7 linked regions of the Xenopus tropicalis genome follow. The protein of the gene in region 3 interacts with the protein of the main gene of each other region in a biochemical or structural test. Links are inferred from orthologs where the notes say so. Each region holds a gene or a part of one and is shown on either strand. Other genes may lie near its edges.

Region 1 (4,386 bases), on a different chromosome or scaffold from region 3:
GATGTATTTGCCCATATTTACCTATTTTGAGTTCATCTGAATGTAAACTTTTTAAAAATGTTTTTTCTCTGGTAAGTTTACTGACCCAGGCATTTTTGTCTTGCAATCTAGTATGCTGATTTCTGGTGCTTTGAAAATTCACTTTACTGTAGGTCAGTGGTTCTCAACCTGTGGGTCGGGACTATTTCACAGGGGTCGCCAAGACCATCGGAAAACACACATTTCAAATGGTCCTAGGAATAATTTTATGGTTGGGGGTCACCACAACATGAGGAACTGTATGAAAGGGTCGCGGCATTAGGAAGCTTGAGAATCATTGGTGTAGTAGATGTTTAACACATACACATAAGGAAACCCCATAAAACTATACACACTCTAGTCAGGTTACCACCTTACTGGTATTTTACCGTAAAATACCCTACACTGTGTCGATATCAGGCTTTCCAAATGAGTTGTATTATTTTTACTTGCAAAATAGGTTTGATTCCTCTAGATATGAAATTATTAGTCAATTAACAACGCAACGCTTTGTTTGCAGATTTGGAAGAAAGAAACGCTTTAATTGTATAGAGCAGGGGTAGGGAACCTACGGCTCGGGAGCCAGATGTGGCTCTTGATGGCTGCATCTGGCTCCCTGCCAAATCTTTAATAAAAAAAAATAATGTGGAGCGTGGCCTGCGCTTAGCGGATAGAAGACATGTTCTATGCCTTAGAACACATCTTCTATCCGCCAAGCGCAGGCCACGCCCTCCTCCGCGTCCGGCATCCTTACCAGGTTGCACTTGAACCAGGGCCCAGGGAACGGAGAGGGACATTGGAGCAGAAACCTGTCACGCTTGAATTGAAAATAAAATGTGACCAGTATGTCTCTGTTGGGGCTACAAAGAGAAGCCAACTGTGCACTGTGCTAGGTAGCCCTCTAGTTATACCACTAACAAGCCATATTGAACAGCTAAAGATGACACCCACCCTACCTTGCCCCACAGCATCCGCGGCCTTCGGCCTAGCTCCCGTTGGCCATTGTATGGCTCTCACGGAATTACATTTTAAAATATGTGGTGTTTATGGCTCTCTCAGTCAATAAGGTTCCCGACCCCTGGTATAGAGACCTAAGAATATGATTATAATATATAATAATTAAATCAATAGCTATTGCTTCGATTTTGTCTGTGTGTGTCACTGGGCCTGCAATAAACCATCCACCCTCCAGGCTTTTCTCTCAATGACTGCACTTGAGCGCTATCATTTATCGCCACGCCCATGCGACTAGACTCGGATCCATAAGGGCGTGGGGATGAGCGCAGCTTCCGATGACATCTCTAGGAAGTGACGTACGGCGAAGAAGCAAAGGAACTGGCTGAGGAGGAGGTGTGGAGCCATAAAGGAGAGGTTCGTGACGTCACGGCGGCCATTATACTGTACAGTACACTCTGAGAAAGAAGGAGCCGTAGCTGCAAAATTACAGCGGACTGTCTGATAACGTTATTTCTTTATTACCTCTACTAGCTCTGTACCTCTTACGAGGCGCTTTGAAGCCCTCTGGACTGTGTCCGTTTAGATACTGTCGCCTGAGATCCCGGCACTCCCCTGGGTTCCGTATTTTATTCAACTGACGGTCCCCACCCCTGCCAGCAGCGGTCGACTTGTTGGTTTTCTGACGCCATTCATTGGCTCTTGGTCCCTCCGAGGGCATACCCGGTGACTGCCTCCCTAGGCCGCCGGTCTTTTCCTTAGACAGCCATGGATGAAAAGGCGTTCACGAAGGAGTTGGATCAGTGGATCGAGCAGCTGAATGAGTGCAAGCAGCTATCGGAGAACCAGGTCAAGACTCTGTGCGAGAAGGTACGGGTGGCGCAATGGCAACTTTAAATAGACTGCTGGTAGCAGCCGTGATTATTTTAGAACTATACATATATATTAGCCTGCTGTGGAGCTACAGCCATCAATAGTAGTAGGTAGTTCCTAACGTCATATCGGTTTGTGGGCAGTAACATGGAGCGCACGTAGGTCTTGCGGGGGAGATCATTATTCCGTATTGGGGAACGCATTATTCCGTATGGAGGCCGTATCTTTCGCTATTACGGGTTGCTATACACTTTATACAACATGTAGGCTGGTTGGTAGACACATGAAACGTACTATATATGTCTATCGCCCTAATATATGTGGGAAGGCGTGTTACGGACACCGGGGGGCTAGCGTACAGGGGCTATAGTATCTGTAGTGTTTGCTGTACAGCAGCGCCCATGTGTGAGCTGCACTCGGCACGTCCCACTCCCGGCGAGAGGCTCTGTGGGCGCAGGCTCGGGCTGCTAAGCTCATGGCGCCTTTTGTCGTTCATAAGATGGCGGCTGCTCCACCCCCCGCAGGAATGCGCATGCACGCCAGGACGTGTCACTACTAGTGCGCGCCTCGGCCGGCGGCGCGCTCCCATTTGCTTGGAATGTTACAGGGAATGCAGGGGTCATGGGGATTCTTGGTACAGTGAACGTTGTGCTTTACGGCTCCTTGTAGTAAAGTAAGGCCATATTCTGCCAGAACCACGGGCTAACGTAATCCTGATCTATGGCTTGTTGGGAAAATGTGTTGGTGGAGATGCCACAGTCCAAAAGAGTGGTGGGAATTCCTTGTGTGCTGCTGTATAGGTTGGCCAGCCACTGAGCTAGGTAACATTCATTTGAACATCTCTCATTAAAATGAATAGATGCAGAGCTTTCTATTTATAATCACATATAAGTGGCAGTACAATAAATAGGTATATATATCAAACATGCAGATTTACATACAAAGCAGCCAATCACTGACACAAGAGGTAAAGAGGGCCCTGCCCAATAGAGCTTGCAATCTAAAAGGAGTTCACAGGGTTGGCGGTGGTATGCTTTTTGATGTTTTTCTATTTACGCCCAGGGATTATAAGAATGATGTTGTCCCTTGTGGTCCCTCCTGATGTAGCTAGCTGCGGTTAGTACCAGATTCAGCTGATGTTGGGCCGCAGGACAGTGATTGAGTACATTGGCCAATATTGTGGTGCAATCATGCTCCAGTGTGTTTTCCATGGCCATAGTTGTAGCTAGCTGCATCTAATAGGGCGGGCCACACAGTTACTCACTCTGGTAAATTATGTACAAGGTATGGCAACTTTGCCAAGAATCTCCGAAGCTCATGTAAAACGTGCAATTTTATGAAAACAGCACTGCTAGGAAGTGCATACAAATATTTTAGAATTGTTCAGAAATCTATAAATAAAAGTCAATTTTCTTAGTGCCAGGACTATAAACTTAAGGCTGAAGTGTCTATCAAAGGATTCTTAAAGTTTGATTCTGCTCCTATGAGCCTTTTTTGAGCTCACATTCATTTTCTGCTCTATGCCAGCCATTTTTAAGGCTGTACAAGAAGCGGGTTGTTCATGTGGGCCTTTCAGCTGTTGCTTAAGTAGAAAAATGCAGCCAAACCAATTGGTGTTACAGCTGGGATACAGAGAGGCTACTTATAGGCATGCTGTGAGAAATCCATTGTTAGCTGGCCAATAACCTGTGATTGCTTTTTGCCGGCATGGTCCATTTGGTACTAGGGATGCACAGTATTGGCAAAGGGACAGAGAAGCTCAAAGTAGACCCTTTCTGTGGAGAAGTGTGGCTTATTGACTGTATGGGCAGTGCTGCTTTTACCTCCATCAGCTTAATTAAATCCCCCTCTGTCCAAAAGTCATGTCTATTCGCAGATTTACAACAGTGTTGTGTAGTGTGCAGAAAGATCTGCCTGCCTGGGATGTACAATGCAGCTGCATTGCTTAGAGAAGTCTCTACCACTGCACCACGGGAAAGGCAATAATAAGTGTTTGTCACTGTTTTCCACATAAAGCAATCTTTTCTTTTCTCATCACGTGACGGTTATTCAAGCAAATGTAGCTGCAACTCTTTCTTTTTCAAGCCTTCTCTAGCTAAAAACTGACAGACTATGCATAGTACATGGATATGGGGCAGGATTAATGGGCCTCCATACTCGCAATTCCTTAATTAAAAGGATATCTTCATGTAAGAAACTTTACTATGAAATATAAAATAACTATAAACCGCTTTCAAATATACATAAATTGCAGCTTTTAGTGGTTTTATTTTTTTTTAACTGCAATTGTTATTAAATTTAAATATAGTTTCTCTTTCATTGTCTGCATGAATGGATACACATGCTTCTCCATTACATTTACAAGTAACTTTAAAATATAAAACGGTGGTTTTAATAAATAAGCAACTAGGACGATAAAGCGTCATAAGGGCAGAGGCCAAATTAATGATGAATAACTGGGTAAGCCTGTTAGTGCTGTCTAGAGTGTGTATAATTTAGTATTTAATGGTGCTAGTAATTTTGCTTGCATAAGATTCCAGC
Region 2 (4,148 bases), on a different chromosome or scaffold from region 3:
CGCATCCTTTATTTGTTTTGTACAAGAAGGGGGGGATTGAAATCATTATTTCTCCTACCACAGGCGTGTCAAGTACTTAGCAATACGCACAAGTGGCACAGGAAGGGGTTAAATAGCACCCAGGACATAGCAGGGATCCCAGCAGCACCTGGGTGCCTATAGCAGCGCAGCAAGCTGTTACACTAAGTAGCACACACAATGTGGCTTGTCCTCTTCTGACCCCCGTTGAAATGTTGGGGGTGTTACACCCTGACAGTTTGTGTAACAGGATACCTGCTGATATTATGGAAGAAGCACTTATATAAATGTGATATCCGCTCTAAATAGAAATGGCTAAAGGTTTGGGGGCTCTGCTGTCACTATTGACTGGGGCGAATGTAACTTCCATTTGCACCCCACAAGCCTAGGAGAGCCACAATAGTAACAATTACAAGTATTATTACACGTAACCCCCTGAAACATAAACGGGTTTATTCTGTATTGTTACAATGAATGTGTTGGGTAAGGTCAGTGGATCCTGCCCAGTGGATCTGGGGTGCATTGTGGGTGCTACAACCCAGAGCCAACACAGCTTTTCCATCAGCAGTGCCAGCCAAGTAAACAACTCTGATACATTTCATATGGCGGCTGAAGTTGCTGGCAGAAAGCGAGATATTTGGCAAATCACGGGTTAATACGTTTCTGGGTAGGTTTTGGGGGGCATTAGCACGTACAATTATCATTAGGGCCCCCCTTTGTTCCCCTCTTCTGAACTCCTGCTCCCAGCACAGTCAATGGAGCCATGAAACAGCAGACAAAAGTGAGCTGAAAAGTTTCGTTAATAATTTGCAAAGTATCAGTGTAATGGGCAGAAATAGGGAAATTGGGGGTGCCACTGCCACACGGTTAGGGGGGACCCCCCATGCTGTTGCCGGGTCCCCCAGGAGGGCTCCAGATCCTCCCACCTCTCCCTGATGGACATACTAAGCTCGGAGATCCCTGTGTTAGTTGGGGTAGCTTTTGGGCACCCCAGTTAGGGCAGGAGTGGGCTCAGCGGAGACTTTCCGACGCCCAGCTAAAGATCAGGGATGCAGCCACCCCCTGCCCGACTCTCGCCCACATGGGGGCCCCAGGGGCCGGCACTCGGGGGGCACAAAGGACGAAATGTGTGTGATTTGTGCAATAGCTCGGCTGGTTTCGGGGCTCTCCCGCAGCCTTCAGGGGCTCCTGCAACTGAGAGAAGCCGAGGCTTTACACACCAGAGACTGAGCTTCCAGAGCCTATAGCCAGGGCGGCCTCAGCGCTTACAGGGGCTCAGGGAATGGCCACTTTGTGTTCGGGAAGAAACACAGATAGTTGCGGAGCGGCGCCATGTCTGCCTCATCCCGCCCGCAGCCGCTAGTCCTCAACTCGGTCCGACCCCAGCAAATAAAAGGCGGGAACCGGCGGGAGGGGCAAACACAGGGAGGGAAGGTGCTGAGGAGAGCGAGTGCGGCTGGCACCGAGCTACAATAGCTCCGCACAGCTAACAGGGCGCACAAGGGACGGGATCCTTCACTGAAGGGAAGCTTACAGAGAAGCCATTGCCAGGGCTTGACATTTATACTACAACATATGCGCAACTGACAAGAAAACAGGTGCAAACTCATAATACCTGGGGCAGAAAAAAACAATTAAACAATAAAGAATTTGGAGAACTTCAGTGGGAGGAGAGACTGGATTTGGAAAGGTCACTACAGTTTATTTCCGAGAACTTTGTTCCAGGGCTCTTATTGGCCATTGGATTCTAGCCTGAGTATCAAGCATCTCTTGCACCTTGGCTACAGGTTGCCCAGGAAAGACTTATCTTGGCAAATACCTCCTGCTGCACCACTAGTTTCATTCTTAAGCCTACACCTGTAGTGAAGGTTAAACATGACAGAGAATTCAGCTGCTGCTCCAGCTGGCAAGCCCAAGCGATCAAAGGCATCAAAGAAAGCAACTGACCACCCTAAGTATTCTGACATGATATTGGCTGCAGTGCAAGCAGAGAAGAGTCGTTCTGGTTCATCGCGTCAGTCAATCCAGAAGTACATCAAAAACCACTATAAAGTTGGAGAGAATGCAGACTCGCAAATCAAACTGTCTATTAAGAGACTGGTGACTTCTGGCACCCTCAAACAGACCAAAGGAGTGGGTGCCTCTGGATCTTTCCGGCTAGCCAAGGCAGATGAGGGCAAGAAGCCAGCCAAGAAGCCTAAAAAGGAAATTAAAAAAGCAGCTTCACCCAAAAAAGCTGCTAAGCCCAAAAAAGCTGCAAAGTCTCCTGCCAAGGCCAAGAAACCTAAAGTGGCAGAGAAGAAAGTAAAGAAACCAGCTAAGAAAAAGCCTGCACCTTCTCCTAAAAAAGCCAAAAAGACAAAAACTGTCAAAGCCAAGCCAGTGAGGGCATCCAGAGTAAAGAAGGCCAAGCCCTCCAAACCAAAGGCAAAAGCCAGCCCAAAGAAATCTGGACGGAAGAAGTAAAGCTCCTGCAGTCTCTGGACAGCTCCTAACAACTTGTGTACATAGTTTTATAACCTTCACTTTTTCCAGTGCAACTTTATAATGATGATCAGCTTCCCTGCAATTCCCAAGACAAATTTGTGTATTTGACTTTGCCTGCACTAGGGGAATTAAGCAAGATTTAACTGCTTCATTTTTTTTTATTATTTTGGTGTTAAAATGTAGGAATTTTTTTCCCAAGGAAGAAGTTATCAAACTGGGCTTAACATTTTCAATGATTTTGTGTTTCCTAGCCATTTTAGGACAAGCTTTAACGATATCATTGCACAGAGCTTGGCTTAATTATTATTAATCTACCTGTTCTTAAATGGGAATAATGATATCTTTAAATATTGTTCGGTGTGATTGTGCTACATTATTGTCAGAAATCAGACGATCTTGACCCTAAAATGTTGCTTATAACTTAATATTTAAATGGTAGTTTAAATATGATTCATAGTACAATTAGTTTGGTTATTGTCTACTGATATTTTTGTAGTTTTTTTATTTGTAGGAATGAGTCAGCAGTAGACTAGAGCACTTTTTTGCTGGACAGGCAATGGATCACCCCCCTGTAAGTTTGAACTCTTCATATATTCACACGAGATCCATTTTTTTTTTTTTTTTAAACATACAAACGTTTGTTCAGGAATGATTTACTAACTGTACTTATGCAGCAGCAAGTGCAATGCCTAGAAGATTTTGATACCTTTTCAGCAACATTTTAAATGTTCTCTCTATGGAGAAATGATTAGCTATTAAGATATACAAATATCTTCCAACTGAAGACTGTATTTGTACTTGTCAACCAAGCTTTGAGGGTATTAGGCGTCGTTCACGTACTGTGAATGGTGCAGCTAATCCTTTTCAGTATCATTTGTGCTGAAAATGGTCAGTAAGCAGTGAACCATAACATTTATTTCTGTATCGGTGAGAACTAATCGAGCAAGTGACAAGTGGCCATGAAATACAAATAGAAATATTTTATTCATGTGTTTTGCTTTGTAGATTAGGATTAATCCTTTGTAATCATGACTTTGAAAATAAAATTGCCAAAACGTGTATCTCTGTCTTTTTTGCTTATTTCACTGCAAAATCATTCTTTAACTCTTAATATTTTAGTTTCAGAAGGTTGTGTTTTGAATTTGTTTGGTTGATGAGGTTATTTGTTTGAAACTGCTATATAATACTTTTTGGTTAATATAGTTTATTAGAATAACTAAGCAGGAAAGTGATTGGACCTCAAAACAGTGAAATCTCCAGCATGCGTTCAGTAGCTCAAGTCAAGGGATATTGGGAGATGTAGTTCTGCAATGTCCTGTTCTTAATATTAAGGGATTTCTATTGTGGGAGAGATTAAACAGGCTTATCAAAAATAGGTTTATATAAAGTATAGACGATAATTTGCATTACATTAAAGAGACAGTTCACTGCAATAAAGTATCGCTGCTGGAAACCTCAGGACCTTGTTGCACATGTAAGAAGATTCTTTTCTTTGTTCTTTTCCAGCGTATACAGAAAAATATGTTAACTTCCATGAGACTGTATTTTACTGGTGTCTTATAAAGATGCCTGCAACACACAGAAGGGTTTGCTTCTGCTTATATTGCCACGTTGACAGCTTAACCCCTTGGGTGCAAGTATTG
Region 3 (4,182 bases):
CCGTCCTCATACAGCCCACTCCTGCTGCCTGCTCCATCCTCATACAGCCCACTCCTGCTGCTTGCTCCATCCTCATACAGCCCACTCCTGCTGCTTGCTCCATCCTCATACAGCCCACTCCTGCTGCCTACTCCCTGCTACATCCTCCCGATCACCCCCACCGTGTCCTCCCGTCACTGCGATAAGGAAGACAGGTAATAGCCAGGGGTGAGGACGCAGCGAGGGCCAGGTAAATTACCTTTGGGGGCAGGATCCGGCCTGTGGCCGTAGTTTGAGGATCCCTGGTCTACAGGCTGTATAACAACAAATTCTGGCCTCTCAAATAAATAAATTGGCTCAGGTAGTTAAGCTTTTAATTTAACAATTACCATGTGGCTATCATTTTGTATGTATATCTTTATTTATAAAGCGCTACTTATGTACGCAGTGCTGTACAGTAGAATACATTAATACAAACAGGGTGTTAATAAGATAATAAATACAAAGTATAATAATAAATACAGATAAATACAGCAGCAATAAGTTAAGAGTTGAGGACACGAGAGGAAGGAGGTCCCTGCCCCGTAGAGCTTACAATCTATATGGGAGGGTAACTAACAGACACAAATAGGCAAATATAAGTGCTGTAGGTCACAGTGGGTGACACTACAATATAAGTTTTAACACAGCTCACAAAAAAGCCTAATTGTGTTACAGTTTTAAATACATACTCGCCGTGTACATTCTAAAATGAATGTCACAGACCTCCTATCCACAACATCCCTTGCAATAGGCTTAAAGCTATTGTCTAGCGCAGTGATCCCCAACCAACGGCCCAGGAGTAACATGTTGCTCCCCAACCCCTTGGATGTTGCTCTCAGTGGCCCTAAAGCAGGTGCTTATTTTTAAATTCCTGGCTTAGAAGCAAGTTTTGGTTGGGTAAAACCAGATGTACTGCCACCTGTAGGCTGCCAGTCCACATAGGGGCTACCAAATAGCCAATCATACTCCTTATTTGGCACCCCAGGTACATTTCCATGCTTGTGTTGCTCCTCAATTCTTTATAAATTTGAATGTGGCTCATGGGTTAAAAAGGTTGGGGGTCCCTGGTCTAGCGGTTAAAGTCAATTTATGTTTCAAATCTGCAACTAACAAAGTGCATAAGTGCGTAACAACACACTCAACTACCCGGGAAAACAAGAAAAGGCGGCTTAAGGCACACTGACGTCACAAGATGTCCCAGAGGAGAGCGGGAGTAGAAGGCATTTACCCAATAAGAAATTCGGGGGCGTGGCCTACTAGTGGCGGGAAGTTTTGTGGAGGCAGCTTTGTAGGGATCCCGGAAGTTCGTCCTGTTATTGAGTCCGATTTGGTTCCAATTTGTGGGACTGAATTTTACAGTAGTGGCGGGGGGCCATGGAGAATTTCCAGAAGGTGGAGAAGATCGGGGAGGGCACGTACGGGGTGGTGTACAAAGCGCGGAACCGAGAGACCGGGGAGATTGTGGCTCTGAAAAAGATTCGCTTGGACACGTGAGTCGCCCCGGGGGCAGAAGTTGTGTTGTTTCCCCAGGAGCTGGGGCTGGGGCTGGGGCTGGGGCTGGGGGGATGTGCCGGGGATCCGGAGTTTGGGAGTAAGGAACATTACACAGCATGAAGGGGGAGCCAGCAGGGCAGGTGTGATGGCTGTGTAAATGGGGACGTGTCAGGGGTGTCCCAGGGAACATATGTGACATTATGTGACATAAGCAGCTAATAATTAGCCCATAGCAGCCAGTGCCTGACTAGTGCAGAGGGATAGTATTGGGCAGGGATTGTAGGTAAACATGAGTGTGATTATCTATAGAACCATGACATTTCCTACTGCAGCAGAAGGAAACAATCAGCAGATACAGTATGGCAGAGCCCAGTGGGAAATACAACACAAGGGCAATATGAATAATAATGGTCACCCAAGTGATGGTACATGGGTCCTGGCCCACAGTCCACCACTGTTATGTTCCAGAATGTTTTATTGTTCAACAACCTCCATTATTACAATCATGTTTAAAGCACCAACATATTCTACAATATTGACACACTGACAAACTGGTACATTGGGTGCAATGAGGCTCTGGCCATACACAGGTTTTAAGGTGAACTCCACCTAGATCAGTGGTTCCCAACCTCCCTAATGCCACAACCCTTTAATACAGCTCCTCATGTTGTGTTGACCCCCAACCATAGAGGAGCGGTGTCTCGTTTCGACCACTAAAGGGGTCCCGACCCACAGGTTGAGAACCGCAGACCTAGACACAACTTAAAATTGTGGAAAACTAAACTTAATTTCAAGCAACTTTGCAATATACATCAATTATAAAACATGCAGCCCTTTTATGATTTTTAATGTAATATGGTTTGGAACAGTTCCCTAAGCCTGGCCCTATGTTCTTCTGCTGATCTGGCTGACTACTTTGGGATTCAAAAAAATGTAACAAGTCAACTGTCCTCACTCCAAATCCCACAATTCCCTGCACATGTGATGTCAATAAGGAAAGGAATATGAGGATTTTGGGTTTTGTAGATTGCATGCTGTCTGTAAGCTGTGGGGAAGTTTTTACAGTTTGCAACATCAATAAAGAGAAGAACTGTTTTGAAGCTGGATTTCAGCATTTAACAAAATGGTATTTATTCATACATTGATACATATATCACCCTGCTGGGTGTGTATTATAAGAAACATATATCCAAAAACCATGAAGTTGGTCCATCCTCTGCTGCTATAATATATAATAGTCTTCTGGTAAGGCTTTGCATTTGATGTTGAAATTGACCTTCAACGGAATTTCTAGGATTCACTTCCGTTGAGCTACAAGGGTATTAATGAGGTTGGGCGCTGAAGCTGGGTGATCAGACCTGGCTCACAGCAAGTGTCCAACTCATTCCAACACTTTTACAGTTAGGAGAGGAAGAAGTTGCATAGAGCCCTAACCTTAACCTATCTCAGCAAATGATTGATCACTATCTGATTATTTAATGTACACACTGTTCTCTTGATGGAAAACATGATTGCTGTAATTGTGATGATATTGTTGATTGCATTGTAATAACTTCCTTCAATCTACTGCTATGACAGTGTCAAACAGAAATGGTTGAAGGTTTTATTGCAACTGCAGCTGTCCTTTTGCTTTAAGCATTCCATGTAGTCTCTGGGTGCCTTTTCCTGGCTCAGACACTTAAGCAGCGTGTGATTGATAATAAGAGTCTTTTCTAACTTGTGACTGAAGCATCTGTCAGAATGAGGTTATATGGTATGAAAGCTACTGTATCAAACCTAAGGGTACTGGCACATGAGGTGAGATAAGTCATAAACGATAAATTTGTGCTACCTTAGGCTACTAATCTCCCCAAAATGCTTTCCAATCGGCAATAATGTAGATCGTCAATGGGAAAATGTATGCTGTACTTTGTTTTTCTGGACTGGAAAAACAAAGCACCACACATGTTTTCCCAGCAGTTATTATGGTCACAGTGCAAGGAATTCCTTCCGTAGTCAGTCAGTCACAAGTTAGAACAGCTTAATCGGAAGTGTCAGAAGGTGTTCCACCAAGAATCTTAAGGTGTCCATATGCCATCGGATCTGATTGTTTAGGAAGGTTGTCAAAGCAGCAGATCTTTCCAGCTAATGCGAGTGGAGTAATGAAATTACAGCGATGGCAATAGGAACCATTGGACTGAGGACTGCATCAATGAACCAATGCACTCCCCACTCTGACAAGAAAATGAAACCTGCCTGATTGACATCTGGCCAATTTTAGGCCAGATATTGGTCGGAGAGGCCTGTCAGCTGCTGCATTGGTCTGAAGGATAATTCTCAATAACCATGTAGCAGTTAGTGATTCCAGATGATTGTCACTCAAATTAATAGGAGTGATTTGCACCATTTATCAACTTTGAGAAAAACCCTCCAGAATTGTTACATTTACCAGTGCCTTTAATCTAATTAATTGTACTCCCAGTTAGAAACTTTCCTGTGCTTCCCAACATTCACATGCAAACACGTTCTTTGGTACAATTCATTGCGCTGTAATATATTTTATATTTTATCTGGCGCAAGTAAACAAATTGTTTTTCTGCCTGTGTAAACTAGATACTGTTTAAAGCAAATGAAAAATTTCATTTTTTTCTATGACTTGTTTTTAGTTAAAGATAGCAATTACAAATA
Region 4 (4,235 bases), on a different chromosome or scaffold from region 3:
GTTTTTCAAACAGGCTGAGAGAAGCAGATCTGCTTCCCTATGCTTTTGGGTTTTTTTCCCGTGTGCCCACACTCAGGCAGTTGCCATAACCTTTAATGCAGGCACACAGAGAAGCACAAGAAAGCAGATCCGCTTCTCTCAGCCTGGCCGAAAAAACGCAGGATTGAGAGAAGTGGGTATGCGCTTTGTGTGACCTCGCCCTAAACTAAAAAAAAAAAATGAGACATTAAGCCCCTAGGTAAGAATAGAAGGATTTGATTGGGGGGAGATCAAATATGAGACTTGTTTGTTATATGCTTGTTATTATGCATGGGATTAGTTGTCCTTTATTGAACTAAACCTGCAGGTCCTGTTGTAAATCATCTTTGGTTATGGGACTATTAACTGACAGAACCTAACAATTTGGTCTAAAACCTTATCCCCAGCCAGTGTCCTGTGAGCAACATGGGTGTTACTCCCAGTGGCCTCAAAGCAGGGGCTTATTTTTGAATTATTGACTTGGAGGCAAGTTTTGGTTGCATAAAAACCCAGTGTAAAGCCACACAGAGCCTTCTCTTGGCTGCCAGCCCACATAGGGGCTACCAAATAGCCAATCACAGCCCTCCTGAATTTCTGCTTATGTATCCTCAGTTATCAGTTCAGCAGTTCCCCTGCGAGTTTGTTCAGCTTTACCAGGCTACTGGCTGGACATAGTTTACATGTTTATGGCCTAAGATTTTAAACTCCACCAGGGCAGTGTATTGAATATAATCTGTGTAGGCGCTATACAAATAAAGCATGGGATTTGGTTATTGAGGAGGTTGAATGAATGAATATGGTTAACGTTAGCTCTATATCTTTCTCACAGCATTAAAGCCCAAGCCGATGTGACTGCGTTCCCACAAGAACACTCACCATCCTGTAAAATGCACGTTTTCTGCGCAGCCTTCAGACTCTCCAGCCAGCTTGGAAGCGCCATCTTGGAACCTGTCACACGCGGGGCCGAGTTACTATAGCAACCCAAAGCTTGCCGGCCTCTTAGGCAAACCGACCTGAGTTGCCATAGTAACGCAGCGGACTGCCTTGTAACGTGTACACAAAACCTATCAACATACCTATCCCAAAATATAAAACGTCTCTACAAAGCTACTGCTGTAACGGGATATTATATATTCTCTTATTATCGGGCTCATTAAGCAATGGACTCCGGTGACCACTTCCGAGTCATCCGGATACGGAAGTGACCTAATTAAATGTCCGTGTATGTTTATAGATGTGGTGTTGAACTCTAGTAAGTGAATGTGAGGGGGGGACAAAGCGATAAGTTACTGTTTGTTTCTCTGTTTGGGGCGCTGTGTGTGTATTTTCCATGTAACTATTTGGGCGCAGTGATCTATAGCAGTGATATATAGAATCGTGGAACTACATCTCCCTCCGAGATGGCTGGAGAGCTGCTGGGGAAAGAAAATAACACATAATCACACATTAAACCGTACTGTTACTTAGGGTTTGGGTTCCATAAGAGAAAGTATTGATTACCTTCCTTAGTGTAGCTGTTTGTATAGCAGAACATTAGGCAATCACAATGGTCTGTTATTAAGTGTACTTATATTATTTGCTACTGTTTATTGCTTGGGGTGGGGTGGGGTGGGGTAGGGTAGGGTGGGGGAATAATGCCAATTTTACTAGAAGGACGAAAAGATTGATTTAGCAGCCCTGGGTTCATTTTGTGGTAACCCTAGCCACTGGTTCCTATATATAAGCCCACTGACTCTGAGGGCAATGGGGAGATTCCCTTTGGTGGAAAAAGCTCCATTGACTTTATTGGTCAATGGGAGGTCAAGAAATGCCTCCCATTGGGGTTAACAGTAATCACCAGTCCAGACGATACCATAAAAAAAAGTAGAGGGCAATTGTGAGTTTTACTGCCTCCCCACTGCCAGTCTCTCTGTGCCATTGCCAGTAAGCTGGCCATATGTGGGTTGATATTGTAAGCCAACTCTGCCTCTCTTGGCAGTCTGCAGCCTAATGGCCGATGCACAGGGCAAAAGCGATGATCTCCCTACCTGTATCTACTCAGGGTTTGGCCAGGTAATGATATTTCTGGCAGGAAACTCCCATCAGGCAGATGCTACATAGAAACACAGTCCTTTCTTAATGACTCTGCCCGGGTTGATAGTTTTGGCTGGAAATCCCATCATCAGGTAACCCCAGTCTGCGAGTTAAAGCCACATATAGGGGCTGATTTACTAATCCACGAATCCGAATGAGAAAAATTCGGATTGGAAAACTAACATTTTGCGACTTTTTCGTATTTTTTGTGATTTTTTTCGTAAATTGTCGCGACTTTTTCGTAACCGTTATGACTTGCGCGAATTGTCGCGACTTTATTATAGCCATTACAAATTTCGTGAATTGTCGCGTCTTTTTCATAGCCATTATGACTTTTGTGAATTGTCGCAACTTTTTCATAGCCATTATGACTTTCGTGAATTGTCGTGACTTTTTCATAGCCATTATGACTTTCGTGAATTGTCGCGACTTTTTCATAGCCATTATGACTTTCGTGAATTGTCGCGACTTTTTCATAGCCATTATGACTTTAGTGAATTGTCGTGACTTTTTCATAGCCTTTACGACTTTTGCGAATTGTCGCAACTTTTTCGTATTGAGCGATCGAAAAAGTCGCAAAATACAGATCATTACGAAAAAAACACATTCAGACGCTTTTCGGACGTTCGTGGATTAGTAAATCAGCCCCATAGTGTACAGACTGGGAACCCGCAACACAAATTTAATATAACACATGTTTCAGAGTAAATTTACATGCAGATTGCCTGGTTGCACTATAAGTAGTTCAGTCTGCTGCTGTAATTATTAGAAAACCATACAGGATTTCTATTCCATATCCACTTTTAAAAGAAGAGTTGGCAGTTCTTGCTTTAGTGAATGTAAATTCAGATGATAAAATGTTAGTTGGATCTGGTAAAATTGTAGGTTACACCCAACTCTTCATATGAATGACAGGTAATAAATATAATAATGAATATATAACCAAAATAATGTTTTTGTTTTACCATAGGAATTGAAGCTACTTGACTGCACTCTTGCCAAATTGCCCTTAATTTTGCTTAAACGCTAGTCTGAAGGAGACACTGAGGAGACACTAACTTTGCAAGAGGTTTTCCTTGTAAGTACTACTCATACAGTATTGCTTTTAAAAAAGAACTAAACCCTAAAAATGAATATGGCCAGACATGCCATATTTTATATAAAGAACGTATTGAACCAGCCTAAATGTTCAACATCTCTGTAGTAGTAATAATCCAGTCCTTTAAAGTTGTCACAGGGGGTGGCCATACTGGACACTTCTGTTAGAAGTGTCTGCGACACTGCACATGCTCAGTGCACTCTGGGCAGCTGTTGAGAAGCTAAGCTTAGGGGTCGTCCAAAATTAATGGGCTGATGGTTTCAGAGTTTCAGATCATCTGTGTTAATTACTAATCAGCCTTATATTGTGACATTTATATCATATATATATATATATAGTATATACAGTATAATGTCAATCGGTCCCTAAGCTCAGGTAGGTGACAGCAGCACAGAGCATGTGCAGGGAATCAGCAGAAGATTGGGGGCTACTGGGGCATCTTCAGTGGCACATATCTTCTTTGCTAAAGGGCTGTGGGTGCCTTGGGCTGGTACAGAAGCAAAAAACATAATGTACAACATTTCTAGCCTACCTCTTTAGTTAAGCTTTAGTTTTCCTTTAATAAAACAAGACTTTATGATATTTTTCATATCCAAAATGAACTGTTACTATTCCAGGGGGCATATTGGTCTCTTTGGGCTCATTGACAAGCAGGAAAATGCTAAACTGAGATTTAATTGTGTGGGAATTTCAGGGGCAAATGATAGGTTGCTTTTACTAAATGAAATAGCAGTTTCTTCCTCCTACTAGCAGTATGTGTTCTTTTGTGTAATGGGAGAAAATGGATTAACTTTTAGCATGCTGTGGTTTTTATAGTATTTTAATAATTTGCCTCCCTTTTTATACCTTTTTCCAGCTATTGGATGAGGATCAGTTACTAAAAAACTATTTCCCTGTGAAGCTACATTTTTATTATTATTTGTACTTTTTAGTACTTATGTTTTTATTCAGTCGTTCACCTATTCATATTTTAGTCTCTTGTTCAAATCACTTCCTGGTTGTTAGGGTAGACAAGACCCTAGCAACCAGATAGCTTCTGAAATAC
Region 5 (3,698 bases), on a different chromosome or scaffold from region 3:
AAGACTCACGATCCGACTTAAATTACAAATTATGGAGATCAGATTTGGTACAGAATCTTGTGCTGTTGTGTGGTGTTGAACGACCAGATCGCAAAATCTGATCCAAATCTCCTGTGTAGCTTAGCCCTTAGAAAACCATTATTCTGAGGGATTTACTCATTGCCACCCATGTCGGTGGCTTACACGGGAACATTTGCTGCTTGTTTAACATGGAGGTGAGGGGTAGAATTGAGGTTCATGAACTGCTGCCACTTTGTATGATGCTGAATTCCTCTGTGCCTCTCCAGCAAAGCTCCCTGCCCTTGACCCCAGCTCAGAGGATGCCCCGTGTATCATTAGAGCACTGTGTGAGCTGTACGATGGAATATTTGTGGAAGCCAAGGGGATAAAAGAGCATTACTTCAAGCCATACATATCAAAGCTTTATGATAAAAAGGTAACTAAACAGACGCCCATCCTACTGCACTGTAAATAAAGCTCATTACTAAATGACTTATTTTATCTTGATTAATTGTCTTTTTTTTTTTTTACAGATTTTAAAAGGAGCCTGCTTATTGGATGTATCTAGTTTCACAGATAACAAGTGAGTAATTTATCTTTTAAGTTGTAGTGTAAAGGTCCCCATACACGGGCCAATTCTAGCTGTCGATATGGGTCCCTTAGACAGATTCGGCAGCTAATCGGCCCGTGTATGGGGACTACCGACGGGCCTGCCCGACCAATATCTGGCCTGAAATCGGCCAGATATCGATCGGGCAGGTTAAAAATCTAGTCTGATCGGGGACCACATCGGCTTGTTGATGCGGTTCCCGGACTGACTTTGCCTATACCCGTCGTTATAGTTCGATAGAATTAGCCTGGATTCTACTGATATCACCCACCCGTAGGTGGGGGATATCAGGAGAAGATCCGCTCGCTTGACAACATCGCCAAGCGAGTGGATCTTAAGGTGTATGGGGGACCATAACCTCCAGGGGGCATGGTGCACAATCAGTTTGGAGAGGCACTATTGTATTTAACCAGATTGGTTAGCCATACCGCTACTCTTCTGATCTAGTGCTGCCATATTGGACTGTAGTCATTCAGATTGGTTAACTGCTATGTTTGCGGGTGGGACCTGTCTCTCTGGGTGATTTTGCATTATTCGCCACCCTAAACTGACTAAACAAAATTGCCCTATTTGTGGGCAGCCAGATCTCTGGAGTACTGATGTAAGAATTTGTATGTTATTTCCTTGCAGTAATTTGTAATAAAACCTTTTGGACTGAGATGATCAAATAAACTTTCTATAAACGAATTGTATCCCTTCTTTCCCACAGTAAATCCTTAAATAAGGAGTATGAAGAGTACGTCCTTACTAAGGGAGACTTTGATGAGAGGGTGTTTCTGGGTGTAGATGCAGAAGAGGAGATTGGAAGTCCCAGAAAATTTGTTGTGGAATTTCCCATGGGAATCTGCACTCCACGGAAACAAATGGAAAGCAACCTGCAGCAACATTTTGAGAGGGTAACATTGGCTAAATGGTTCCACAATGAAAAATCATTACTTCTAAAAATATCCACTGTTCTTTTGAGTTAAGGGGGTCAATCCTAAAGGGTTAATTAAGGTTAGGTTTGGCTTGAGTGATTATTTGTGCCCTGGGTACCCCTGGAACTACAGCAGGGTGACTGTTACCCCAATGTTTCTATATATCTGTAACCTTGTTATGGGCTAAGGGGGCCCAGCCTGAAGGCCAGTTAGGGGGGGATTTGGGGTGAGTGCTTATTTGTGCCCTGGGTACCCCTGGAACTATAGCGGGGTGACTGTTACCCCAATGTTTCTATATATCTGTAACCTTGTTATGGGCTAAGGGGGCCCAGCCTGAAGGCCAGATAGGGGGGGATTTGGGGTGAGTGCTTATTTGTGCCCTGGGTACCCCTGGAACTATAGCAGGGTGACTGTTACCCCAATGTTTCTATATATCTGTAACCTTGTTATGGGCTAAGGGGGCCCAGCCTGAAGGCCAGTTAGGGTGGGATTTGGGGTGAGTGATTATTTGTGCCCTGGGTACCCCTGGAACTATAGCAGGGTGACTGTTACCCCAATGTTTCTATATATCTGTAGCCTTGTTATGGGCTAAGGGGGCTCAGCCTGAAGGCCAGTTAGGGGGGGATTTGGGGTGAGTGCTTATTTGTGCCCTGGGTACCCCTGGAACTATAGCGGGGTGACTGTTACCCCAATGTTTCTATATATCTGTAACCTTGTTATGAGCTAAGGGGGCCCAGCCTGAAGGCCAGTTAGGGGGAGATTTCTGTTACACCTGTCTATGGTCGCAGCAATATAACACTTGGAATCTTTCACTTCATTTTGCAGAAAAGGTCTTTTGCACCATCCACTCCTCTGACTGGTAGAGGTTACCTGAAGGAGGAGCCAACTGTAATCACGCCTGTTTCATCGGCAACACAGTGTGTGAGCAGGTTACAGAGCATGGTGGCAGGGCTCAGAAATGCTCCAAGTGAGCAGCTGATCGAAGTTTTCAAGTCCTGTGTTAGAAACCCATTAGAGAATGTATTGAATATTGTCCGAGATATCGGACGTCGATTCTGCCATCACTATACACAATCCACAGAAGACCAGCCTGGGTCTCATATTGGTAAGAATCCATACAGATCATTTGTTTCATTATAGCTTTTAGTCAAATTTATGGGCAATAATTTTTCATATACCTACATTATTTGTTGTGTTTGTGTAAGCTAATTAATTTTTGCTCAAATGTGAAATTTGTCACGCTTTTTTTTTTTTTTTTTTTTTTTTTTTTTTAAGATTTTGCAGTCAATCGGTGGAAACTGGCTGAAATTTTGTACTTTAAAGTACTAGAGACCATAGTTGTCCAGGAAAGCAAGAGACTTCATGGGAAAGATTTGACGGTAAGAAATAAAAGATCTCATTGGGATTGTCTTAACGAGATCCACAGGCACCGGCCCATGAGAAAAATACTCCCAGCACATTGCCCTGGCATCTTTTATCATAAGAGCTTCATTCTTTTGCCATTACCCCTGCACAATATACTACATTTTGGCCCTGGCCAAGGGAAAAATACTTGGCAATCTATCCTAACATTTTGCCCCTGCCCCACAGTGAAATATAATTTACATGTCATTTTAAAAGTGTTTTAAAAACATAAGGATACCTGTGGCTTCAAATTAAGTACATATTGTGACGCTCAGATAATACGGGGTAGCTGGATTCTTATTGGATTTTATAATCTAGCCAATGGCTGCTTATTTCCAGTGTCTCATTGTATTCTCCCTTTATTTTTTTCAGGCTCTACTAGAGCAGGACATCTTTCATCAGTCACTGATTGCCTGCTGTCTGGAAATTGTGCTATTTGCTTACAGTTCTCCCAGAACCTTCCCCTGGACCATTGAAGTACTTAATCTGAGTGCTTTCTACTTCTACAAAGTAAGTTCTGGAAAACACCACAGCTGAATAAAACTAAATATTAAAAGTGCATGTTTTCTACTTGCGTCAAATGGAAAATTAAGTTGAACTCTTGGATGGTTATTGGGGTGGGAAGTCCCCCACAATTCCTTCCCGTGACACTTTTATTTCCAACCTTAATCCCTTTTAGGTAATAGAAGTGTTTATTCGTTCCGAAGATGGGCTGTCACGGGATATGGTGAAACACCTCAATACCATTGAAGAACAGATTTTGGAGA
Region 6 (4,222 bases), on a different chromosome or scaffold from region 3:
ATGAGAGCAGGGCAGGCAGTAACCCTTCCAACTCTTTCCCCTGTCTCTGCCCCTATATATTAGGGACCTACCTAGTGCTACCAACCCCTATTTCTGTAGGGAAATGAGAGCAGGGCAGGCAGTAACCCTTCCAACTCTTTCCCCTGTCTCTGCCCCTATATATTAGGTACCTACCTAGTGCTACCAACCCCTATTTCTGTAGGGAAATGAGAGCAGGGCAGGCAGTAACCCTTCCAACACTTTCCCCTGTCTCTGCCCCTATATATTAGGTACCTACCTAGTGCTACCAACCCCTATTTCTGTAGGGAAATGAGAGCAGGGCAGGCAGTAACCCTTCCAACACTTTCCCCTGTCTCTGCCCCTATATATTAGGTACCTACCTAGTGCTACCAACCCCTATTTCTGTAGGGAAATGAGAGCAGGGCAGGCAGTAACCCTTCCAACACTTTCCCCTGTCTCTGCCCCTATATATTAGGTACCTACCTAGTGCTACCAAACCCATCCCAGGCCAGTGTCCCAGTTGACATTAACACATTACTGTGGATGAGATATAAAATAGGAAGTAAGATCTGGCCAATCACAATGCAGTCTCCACTGTTACCATGTAACATAATTTAGGATGTTCAATTTATGTGACTTTTTATCCCATTTAACATTGCATTGCTTTTTGTAGATTCTATGAAATATATTGACATAAATAACTAATTGGCAATATGATAAAATGTAGCTTTAATGCTAGAGTGCAAGCTCTTGTGGCAAGGCAGGCTGATCTTACTGTTTATTCAGAAGTGCTGGTATAACTTGCTGGGGGTTATTAATCAGTGATGAGCTATCCATGCCAGAGAAGCACTGGCACCCAACAACCCTGGCTAAGCCTTTCCATTACCATCAGCACCCATAGGTGGCCAAGTTGACCCAATCCAATTAAATGGCCTTTGGGCCGGAAATTGCTAATGAGATGGCACTGTGTTACATTTAATTCCACAATGACTCAGACATGAGTTTAATTAACCCCAATAATCATGATGGTCTCCCATATACAAATTGGCCAACCTGGTTGCCCGGTGTATGTGCAAGCACCAAATGGACCAAACCATTAATTTACCAGCAGGGGCAGCCTTATAAGGTTCTGGTGCATCCCACCCTAGAGGCAAAGGGTGGCTTTGTGGGGCAGATATTGTGAAGGATTATGAATGGGTATTATGCTGAGTCAGACTGTGGCTAATGACATAAGTGTGGGGCAGGGGCTTTAATATAATTCTACCTATAGGGTGTGTCTGCTCCCTGTAACGAACTAGTAAGTGGATTTAGGGATCCCATTGATTCTCTCCAAGTTCAATTAGCCCGTGGCTAGGTGTCTGCTGATCACTGGCCACCGGAGGAGCAGCTGCTGGGGGCTGTCACTTTGTGTCCCAAGTTGTTGGTTTTTAGCAGGATCCCAGGTGGAACCAACAGGCATTTGTGTCCGGGGACAAGAGCCGGAGACTTGGGGCAGATCATTCAGCTGCTGCCGGGATCAGGGGCTACTGCCTTTCTTTATTGGGATTTACAGAGATATAACGGACTGGCTGGAATCAATTACCCCAGGAACCCAGCTTATTATAGGGGGAACCGCAGGATCCCATTGTTATCTTACTCGGACCCACCTATCAGACTCTTCCATAAATCCCCCCCACGTCCTGCCAACTAAGGGAGAAGAGGGGCTATCAGGGCAACGCAATGGGGTTCCCTAATGGTGTCACCGATGAACCACAAAAGGTAAGTGTGCGAGACATTATAGGGGCTGGATATTGTGTGTGTGTGTGTGTGTGTGTGTGTGTATATAGTGTAGGAAATGTTACATACAGGGGGTGACAGTGAAGGAATGTTACATACAGGGGGGTGTCAGTAAAGGAATGTTACATACAGGGGGTGACAGTGAAGGAATGTTACATACAGGGGGGTGTCAGTAAAGGAATGTTACATACAGGGGGTGACAGTGAAGGAATGTTACATACAGGGGGGTGTCAGTAAAGGAATGTTACATACAGGGGGTGTCAGTAAAGGAATGTTACACACAGGGGGTGACAGTGAAGGAATGTTACACACAGGGGGTGACAGTGAAGGAATGTTACACACAGGGGGTGACAGTGAAGGAATGTTACATACAGGGGGGTGTCAGTAAAGGAATGTTACATACAGGGGGTGTCAGTAAAGGAATGTTACACACAGGGGGTGACAGTGAAGGAATGTTACACACAGGGGGTGACAGTGAAGGAATGTTACACACAGGGGGTGACAGTGAAGGAATGTTACATACAGGGGGTGACAGTGAAGGAATGTTACACACAGGGGGTGACAGTGAAGGAATGTTACACACAGGGGGTGACAGTGAAGGAATGTTACACACAGGGGGTGACAGTGAAGGAATGTTACACACAGGGGGTGACAGTGAAGGAATGTTACATACGGGGGTGACAGTGAAGGAATGTTACATACAGGGGGTGACAGTGAAGGAATGTTACATACAGGGGGTGACAGTGAAGGAATGTTACATACAGGGGGTGACAGTAAAGGAATGTTACATACAGGGGGTGACAGTAAAGGAATGTTACATACGGGGGTGACAGTGAAGGAATGTTACATACGGGGGTGACAGTGAAGGAATGTTACATACAGGGGGTGACAGTGAAGGAATGTTACATACAGGGGTTTAAGTAAAGGAATGTTACATACAGGGGGTGACAGTAAAGGAATGTTACATACAGGGGGTGACAGTGAAGGAATGTTACATACAGGGGGTGACAGTGAAGGAATGTTACATACGGGGGTGACAGTAAAGGAATGTTACATACAGGGGGAGACAGTGAAGGAATGTTACATACAGGGGGTGACAGTGAAGGAATGTTACATACGGGGGTGACAGTGAAGGAATGTTACATACAGGGGTTTAAGTAAAGGAATGTTACATACAGGGGGTGACAGTAAAGGAATGTTACATACGGGGGTGACAGTGAAGGAATGTTACATACGGGGGTGACAGTAAAGGAATGTTACATACAGGGGGAGACAGTGAAGGAATGTTACATACAGGGGGAGACAGTGAAGGAATGTTACATATGGGGGTGACAGTGAAGGAATGTTACATACAGGGGGTGACAGTGAAGGAATGTTACATAGGGGGTGACAGTAAAGGAATGTTACATACAGGGGTTTAAGTAAAGGAATGTTACATACAGGGGGTGACAGTGAAGGAATGTTACATACGGGGGTGACAGTGAAGGAATGTTACATACGGGGGTGACAGTGAAGGAATGCTACATACGGGGGTGACAGTGAAGGAATGTTACATACGGGGGTGACAGTAAAGGAATGTTACATACAGGGGTTTAAGTAAAGGAATGTTACATACAGGGGGTGACAGTGAAGGAATGTTACATACGGGGGTGACAGTGAAGGAATGTTACATACGGGGGTTTAAGTAAAGGAATGTTACATACGGTGAAGGAATGTTACATACAGGGGGAGACAGTGAAGGAATGTTACATACAGGGGGTGACAGTGAAGGAATGTTACATACAGGGGGTGACAGTGAAGGAATGTTACATACGGGGGTGACAGTGAAGGAATGTTACATACGGGGGTTTAAGTAAAGGAATGTTACATACGGGGGGTGACAGTGAAGGAATGTTACATACGGGGGTGACAGTGAAGGAATGTTACATACGGGGGTTTAAGTAAAGGAATGTTACATACAGGGGGTGACAGTGAAGGAATGTTACATACGGGGGTGACAGTGAAGGAATGTTACATACGGGGGTTTAAGTAAAGGAATGTTACATACGGGGGGTGACAGTGAAGGAATGTTACATACAGGGGGTGACAGTAAAGGAATGTTACATACAGGGGTTTAAGTAAAGGAATGTTACATACGGGGGGTGACAGTGAAGGAATGTTACATACAGGGGGAGACAGTGAAGGAATGTTACATACAGGGGGAGACAGTGAAGGAATGTTACATACAGGGGGTGACAGTGAAGGAATGTTACATACGGGGGTTTAAGTAAAGGAATGTTACATACAGGGGCAGAATGGGGGGAGACAGTGAAGGAATGTTACATACAGGGGCAGAATGGGGGGTGACAGTGAGGAATGTTACATACAGGGGCAGAATGGGGGGTGACAGTGAGGAATGTTACATACGGGGGTGACAGTGAAGGAATGTTACATACGGGGGTGACAG
Region 7 (4,131 bases), on a different chromosome or scaffold from region 3:
TCTGGTAGAGTGCAAGCTCTTCTGAGCAGGGGCCTCTCCCTTCTGCCATTGCTTTGTTTCCTGTTGCATTGTTGACACCTGAGGCGCCGACTTCAAGGAAAATAAACAGTATCATTAAAACAGTATTGTTAAAACTAGCTGCTGCTGAACTACAATTCCCAGAATCCCCCCACAATCAGGATGGCCGATTACACAAGAGAGCTCCAGAATGTAGCTGTCCAGCTGTTGCTGAATACTAACTCCCAACATGCTTAGACAGACTGCATCCAGGAAGCTGTAGGTCAACAACAGTCTCAGTTAAAGCCCCCATTACAGACAATTCCAATACATTGTATAGGATCATTGCAATGATCTGACCAGTCAGTCTACCCAGCCCAATGGCCATTCCATATTTCTCACACCCATGAAAAATCACCATATTCTACAGCGCTGTATATTGAATGTTCAGATCAGTCTCTCCATGGCCACCTTTACATTTCTTGCAAGTATGTGCCAGTGTTATCTGGTTGGCACTGCCATACAAACAAACAATATGGGTTAGACATTCCTTTGCACAGCCAGATTATTCTATGCAGCTTCAACAGGAGGAAGTTGAACATATTTAGAAAGAAGCTTCTTTTCTTCCTCTTGTAAATAATACTGAAAACTGTGCCAATGCCCAAACACCCATCCCTAAAATCAACTCCCTTGCACCCCTGGTCACAGCACCTTAGTTGCACAGCTATAGCCATACCTGCAGCATCACTATCACCTAATTCTTCCACTGTCCAAAGAGGATGCTGGGAGTTGTATTCAGCAACAGCTGGAGGATGTGACAGTCGTGTCCCTGTTACAGAATGAAAGTGGTTCTGCAGCAGCAGAGGCAGTGGCTTGCTGGCATCTGACCCTCTGCCCTGGTGGCCCCAGCCAAATCATTGCACCCAGCGGGACATTCCTACCCTGTGCCAAGCGTTGGAAGCTGCAATTTACCAGCACAGCTGGGATGAAAAAGCCACGCCTCCAGCCACCGCTCATTGGTTGAGAATGCGGAAGAGACTTGGGATTCAGTGCAAAGTCTTTAAGCCAATCGGGAGGCAGGGAGTCCGCCTACTTGTCAGTGGCTGCTCTGGGCACTATATAAAGCGGAGGGAAACGCGGCGGGACTCATTCTGAGCGGATTAGGAGAGGCGTACGGCGTTAGCTGGTTGTGCTGCGGTTATATTAGAGTGTGTGTGTGCGCGGTGGGAGCGATCCATTCCTACCTAAACGGTACCATGAAAGCATTCAGCCCAGTAAGGTCTGTCCGAAAAAGCAGCCTAACGGAACACAGCCTGGGCATAGCTCGGAGCAAAACGCCAGTGGATGACCCGATGAGCCTCTTGTACAATATGAATGATTGTTACTCTAAGCTGAAGGAACTGGTGCCCAGTATTCCCCAGAACAAGAAGGTCAGCAAGATGGAGATCCTCCAGCACGTCATCGACTATATCCTGGACCTGCAGCTCGCCCTGGATTCCCACCCCAGCATTGTCAGTCTCCATCATGCCCGGGTGGGGGGCAGCACGTCCCGGACCCCCCTGACCGCCCTAAACACAGACATCAGCATCCTGTCACTGCAGGTAAGGGGCACCCTAAAGCCGTCATACCCATTGCCCACCTAGGCTTACCCATTGCCCACCTAGGCTTACCCATTGCCCACCTAGCTTACCCATTGCCCACCTAGGCTTACCCATTGCCCACCTATGCTTACCCATTGCCCACCTAGACTTACCCATTGCCCACCTAGGCTTACCCATTGCCCACCTATACTTACCCTTTGCCCACCCAGACTTACCCATTGCCCACCTAGGCTTACCCATTGCCCACCTAGGCTTACCCATTGCCCACCTAGGCTTACCCCTTGCCCACCTAGGCTTACCCCTTGCCCACCTAGGCTTACCCCTTGCCCACCTAGGCTTACCCCTTGCCCACCTAGGCTTACCCCTTGCCCACCCTTGCTAACCCTTTGCCCACCTATGCTAACCCATTGCCCACCTAGGCTTGCCTACAGCTGTCATACCTGTCATTAGAGCCATAATACCTGTATATCATGCCCACCATTATAACTCCCTGTTCATACCCACCATCATACCTTTATATCAACACCCACTGCCCCCACAATGCCTTCCCTTCTCCTACATACTTACTGCTCCCAATATCCCTCCCATAGCCCCCAAATCTGCTCACCCTTCCCCCCCCCCCATACTCGCTGCCCCTAATGCCACACATTCCCGGAGCGTCTAAAGTTGGCGCCCTGTGCCCCCTGGAAATGCCTCCCCTTCTCACGAATGTAATTACGGTAAGGGATGCCATTCTCTCTGCCAGTCCATGCCTGTTGGTAGCCGTGAGTAAGTGCTCTAAGCCCTTATTAGCCATGCTCTTTGCCCAACTTTACCCCCACTCCAATCAAGATCTACTATACCTTACCCTGAACTTACGGCCCTGCCTGCCCCTTCCCATTCCGTGCCCCCTGGCACTGCCCGTACTCATGTGCCCTCTCTCCTTCCAGGCGGCTGAATTATCGGCAGAGTTCACAGACGAGAGCAAATCCCTTTGTCCTTAAAATGGTGAGTTAAGTACTTTAATTAAGTGAAGGGGGGGATGGTTGTTACTTAGTGGGGTGCCAGGCTGCTAGCTGGTATTATACGGGCCTTGGCACTTATGTACCAATGTCTGTAGTAGCGGCTGAACTGCTCCTCTGTGGCTGTCAGGAGCTGTTAGTTATAGTTCAGGAGCTGTGTTAGTTATAGTTCAGGAGCTGTGTTAGTTATAGTTCAGGAGCTGTGTTAGTTATAGTTCAGGAGCTGTGTTAGTTATAGTTCAGGAGCTGTGTTAGTTATAGTTCAGGAGCTGTGTTAGTTATAGTTCAGGAGCTGTGTTAGTTATAGTTCAGGAGCTGTGTTAGTTATAGTTCAGGAGCTGTGTTAGTTATAGTTCAGGAGCTGTGTTAGTTATAGTTCAGGAGCTGTGTTAGTTATAGTTCAGGAGCTGTGTTAGTTATAGTTCAGGAGCTGTGTTAGTTATAGTTCAGGAGCTGTGTTAGTTTTAGTTCAGGAGCTGGAGGGTCGGCACTCGGGTAAAAGTTCTGAATGTACAGCGCTGTCAGCTCTGCAGGCAAGTGAGGGCAAAGCACCGCAAGCCCCTATAACTTTGCTATCTGAATGGGTGTGTGTGAGCCCCATGCCAGGGTACAGAGTTGGGTGTGTGTGAGCCCCATGCCGGGGTATAGAGGTAGGTGTGTGTGTGTGTGTGTGTGTGTGAGTGTGAGCCCCATGCAGGGTTATAGAGGTGTGTGTGAGCCCCATGTAGGGGTATAGAGGTAGGTGTGTGTGAGCCCCATGTAGGGGTACAGAGTTGGGTGTGTGTGAGCCCCATGACGGGGTATAGAGGTAGGTGAGTGTGTGTGAGCCCCATGCAGGGTTATAGAGGTGTGTGTGTGTGAGCCCCATGCAGGGGTATAGAGGTGTGTGTGTGTGTGTGAGCCCCATGCAGGGGTATAGAGGTGTGTGTGTGTGTGTGAGCCCCATGCAGGGGTATAGAGGTGTGTGTGTGTGAGCCCCATGTAGGGGTATAGAGGTGTGAGTATGAGCCCCATGTCGGGGTATAGAGGTGTGTGTGTGTGTGTGAGTCCCATGCCAGGGTATAGAGGTGTGTGTGAGCCCCATGTAGGGGTATAGAGGTGTGAGTATGAGCCCCATGTCGGGGTATAGAGGTGTGTGTGTGTGTGAGTCCCATGCCAGGGTATAGAGGTGTGTGTGTGTGAGCCCCATGTAGGGGTATAGAGGTGTGAGTGTGAGCCCCATGTCGGGGTATAGAGGTGTGTATGTGTGTGAGTCCCATGCCAGGGTATAGAGGTGTGCGTCCCATGCCGGGGTATAGAGGTGTGAGTCCCATGCCGGGGTATAGAGGTGTGTGTGTGTGTGTGTGTGTGTGTGTGTGTGAGCGTGTGTGAGCCCCATGCCGGGGTATAGAGTTGGGTGTGTGTGAGCCCCATTCCGGGGTATAGAGTTGGGTGTGTGTGAGCCCCATGCCGGGGTATAGAGTTGGGTGTGTGTGAGCCCCATGCCGGGGTATAGAGTTGGGGGGGGGGGGGGTACTTATACCATAAATGCA

The links.
Region 1: of the proteins of cdk2 (region 3) and ppp2ca, one has a biochemical effect on the other in vitro, tested with the Homo sapiens proteins (2 studies listed by BioGRID). The link is inferred for Xenopus tropicalis from reciprocal best matches to the Homo sapiens genes CDK2 and PPP2CA.
Region 2: of the proteins of cdk2 (region 3) and h1-0, one has a biochemical effect on the other in vitro, tested with the Homo sapiens proteins (11 studies listed by BioGRID and IntAct). The link is inferred for Xenopus tropicalis from reciprocal best matches to the Homo sapiens genes CDK2 and H1-0.
Region 4: of the proteins of cdk2 (region 3) and poll, one has a biochemical effect on the other in vitro, tested with the Homo sapiens proteins (2 studies listed by BioGRID). The link is inferred for Xenopus tropicalis from reciprocal best matches to the Homo sapiens genes CDK2 and POLL.
Region 5: of the proteins of cdk2 (region 3) and rbl1, one has a biochemical effect on the other in vitro, tested with the Homo sapiens proteins (5 studies listed by BioGRID, with this or other methods). The link is inferred for Xenopus tropicalis from reciprocal best matches to the Homo sapiens genes CDK2 and RBL1.
Region 6: of the proteins of cdk2 (region 3) and wee1, one has a biochemical effect on the other in vitro, tested with the Homo sapiens proteins (3 studies listed by BioGRID, with this or other methods). The link is inferred for Xenopus tropicalis from reciprocal best matches to the Homo sapiens genes CDK2 and WEE1.
Region 7: of the proteins of cdk2 (region 3) and id2, one has a biochemical effect on the other in vitro, tested with the Homo sapiens proteins (2 studies listed by BioGRID). The link is inferred for Xenopus tropicalis from reciprocal best matches to the Homo sapiens genes CDK2 and ID2.

The regions. Positions count from the first base shown.
Region 1 is NC_030679.2:26,543,016-26,547,401, forward strand, and holds the start of ppp2ca (serine/threonine-protein phosphatase 2A catalytic subunit alpha isoform), read left to right. Parts: upstream 1-1,442; 5' UTR 1,443-1,740; coding exon 1,741-1,842; intron 1,843-4,386. UniProt on the Homo sapiens protein: Catalytic subunit of protein phosphatase 2A (PP2A), a serine/threonine phosphatase involved in the regulation of a wide variety of enzymes, signal transduction pathways, and cellular events.
Region 2 is NC_030680.2:122,560,720-122,564,867, reverse strand, and holds h1-0 (histone H1.0), read left to right. Parts: upstream 1-1,456; 5' UTR 1,457-1,893; coding exon 1,894-2,484; 3' UTR 2,485-3,564; downstream 3,565-4,148. UniProt on the Homo sapiens protein: Histones H1 are necessary for the condensation of nucleosome chains into higher-order structures. The histones H1.0 are found in cells that are in terminal stages of differentiation or that have low rates of cell division.
Region 3 is NC_030678.2:137,886,453-137,890,634, reverse strand, and holds the start of cdk2 (cyclin-dependent kinase 2), read left to right. Parts: upstream 1-1,319; 5' UTR 1,320-1,395; coding exon 1,396-1,511; intron 1,512-4,182. UniProt on the Homo sapiens protein: Serine/threonine-protein kinase involved in the control of the cell cycle; essential for meiosis, but dispensable for mitosis. Phosphorylates CABLES1, CTNNB1, CDK2AP2, ERCC6, NBN, USP37, p53/TP53, NPM1, CDK7, RB1, BRCA2, MYC, NPAT, EZH2.
Region 4 is NC_030683.2:30,778,504-30,782,738, reverse strand, and holds the start of poll (DNA polymerase lambda), read left to right. Parts: upstream 1-1,240; 5' UTR 1,241-1,270; intron 1,271-1,675; exon of another isoform or gene 1,676-2,070; intron 2,071-3,061; 5' UTR 3,062-3,169; intron 3,170-4,235. Other genes in the region: protein DPCD, read right to left, coding at 895-958.
Region 5 is NC_030686.2:42,366,303-42,370,000, forward strand, and holds part of rbl1 (retinoblastoma-like protein 1), read left to right. Parts: intron 1-287; coding exon 288-436; intron 437-533; coding exon 534-583; intron 584-1,319; coding exon 1,320-1,506; intron 1,507-2,352; coding exon 2,353-2,632; intron 2,633-2,802; coding exon 2,803-2,906; intron 2,907-3,303; coding exon 3,304-3,441; intron 3,442-3,610; coding exon 3,611-3,698. UniProt on the Homo sapiens protein: Key regulator of entry into cell division. Directly involved in heterochromatin formation by maintaining overall chromatin structure and, in particular, that of constitutive heterochromatin by stabilizing histone methylation.
Region 6 is NC_030680.2:7,008,098-7,012,319, forward strand, and holds the start of wee1 (wee1-like protein kinase), read left to right. Parts: upstream 1-1,355; 5' UTR 1,356-1,719; coding exon 1,720-1,758; intron 1,759-4,222. UniProt on the Homo sapiens protein: Acts as a negative regulator of entry into mitosis (G2 to M transition) by protecting the nucleus from cytoplasmically activated cyclin B1-complexed CDK1 before the onset of mitosis by mediating phosphorylation of CDK1 on 'Tyr-15'.
Region 7 is NC_030681.2:137,437,286-137,441,416, forward strand, and holds the start of id2 (DNA-binding protein inhibitor ID-2), read left to right. Parts: upstream 1-1,155; 5' UTR 1,156-1,253; coding exon 1,254-1,598; intron 1,599-2,527; coding exon 2,528-2,581; 3' UTR 2,582-2,585; intron 2,586-4,131. UniProt on the Homo sapiens protein: Transcriptional regulator (lacking a basic DNA binding domain) which negatively regulates the basic helix-loop-helix (bHLH) transcription factors by forming heterodimers and inhibiting their DNA binding and transcriptional activity.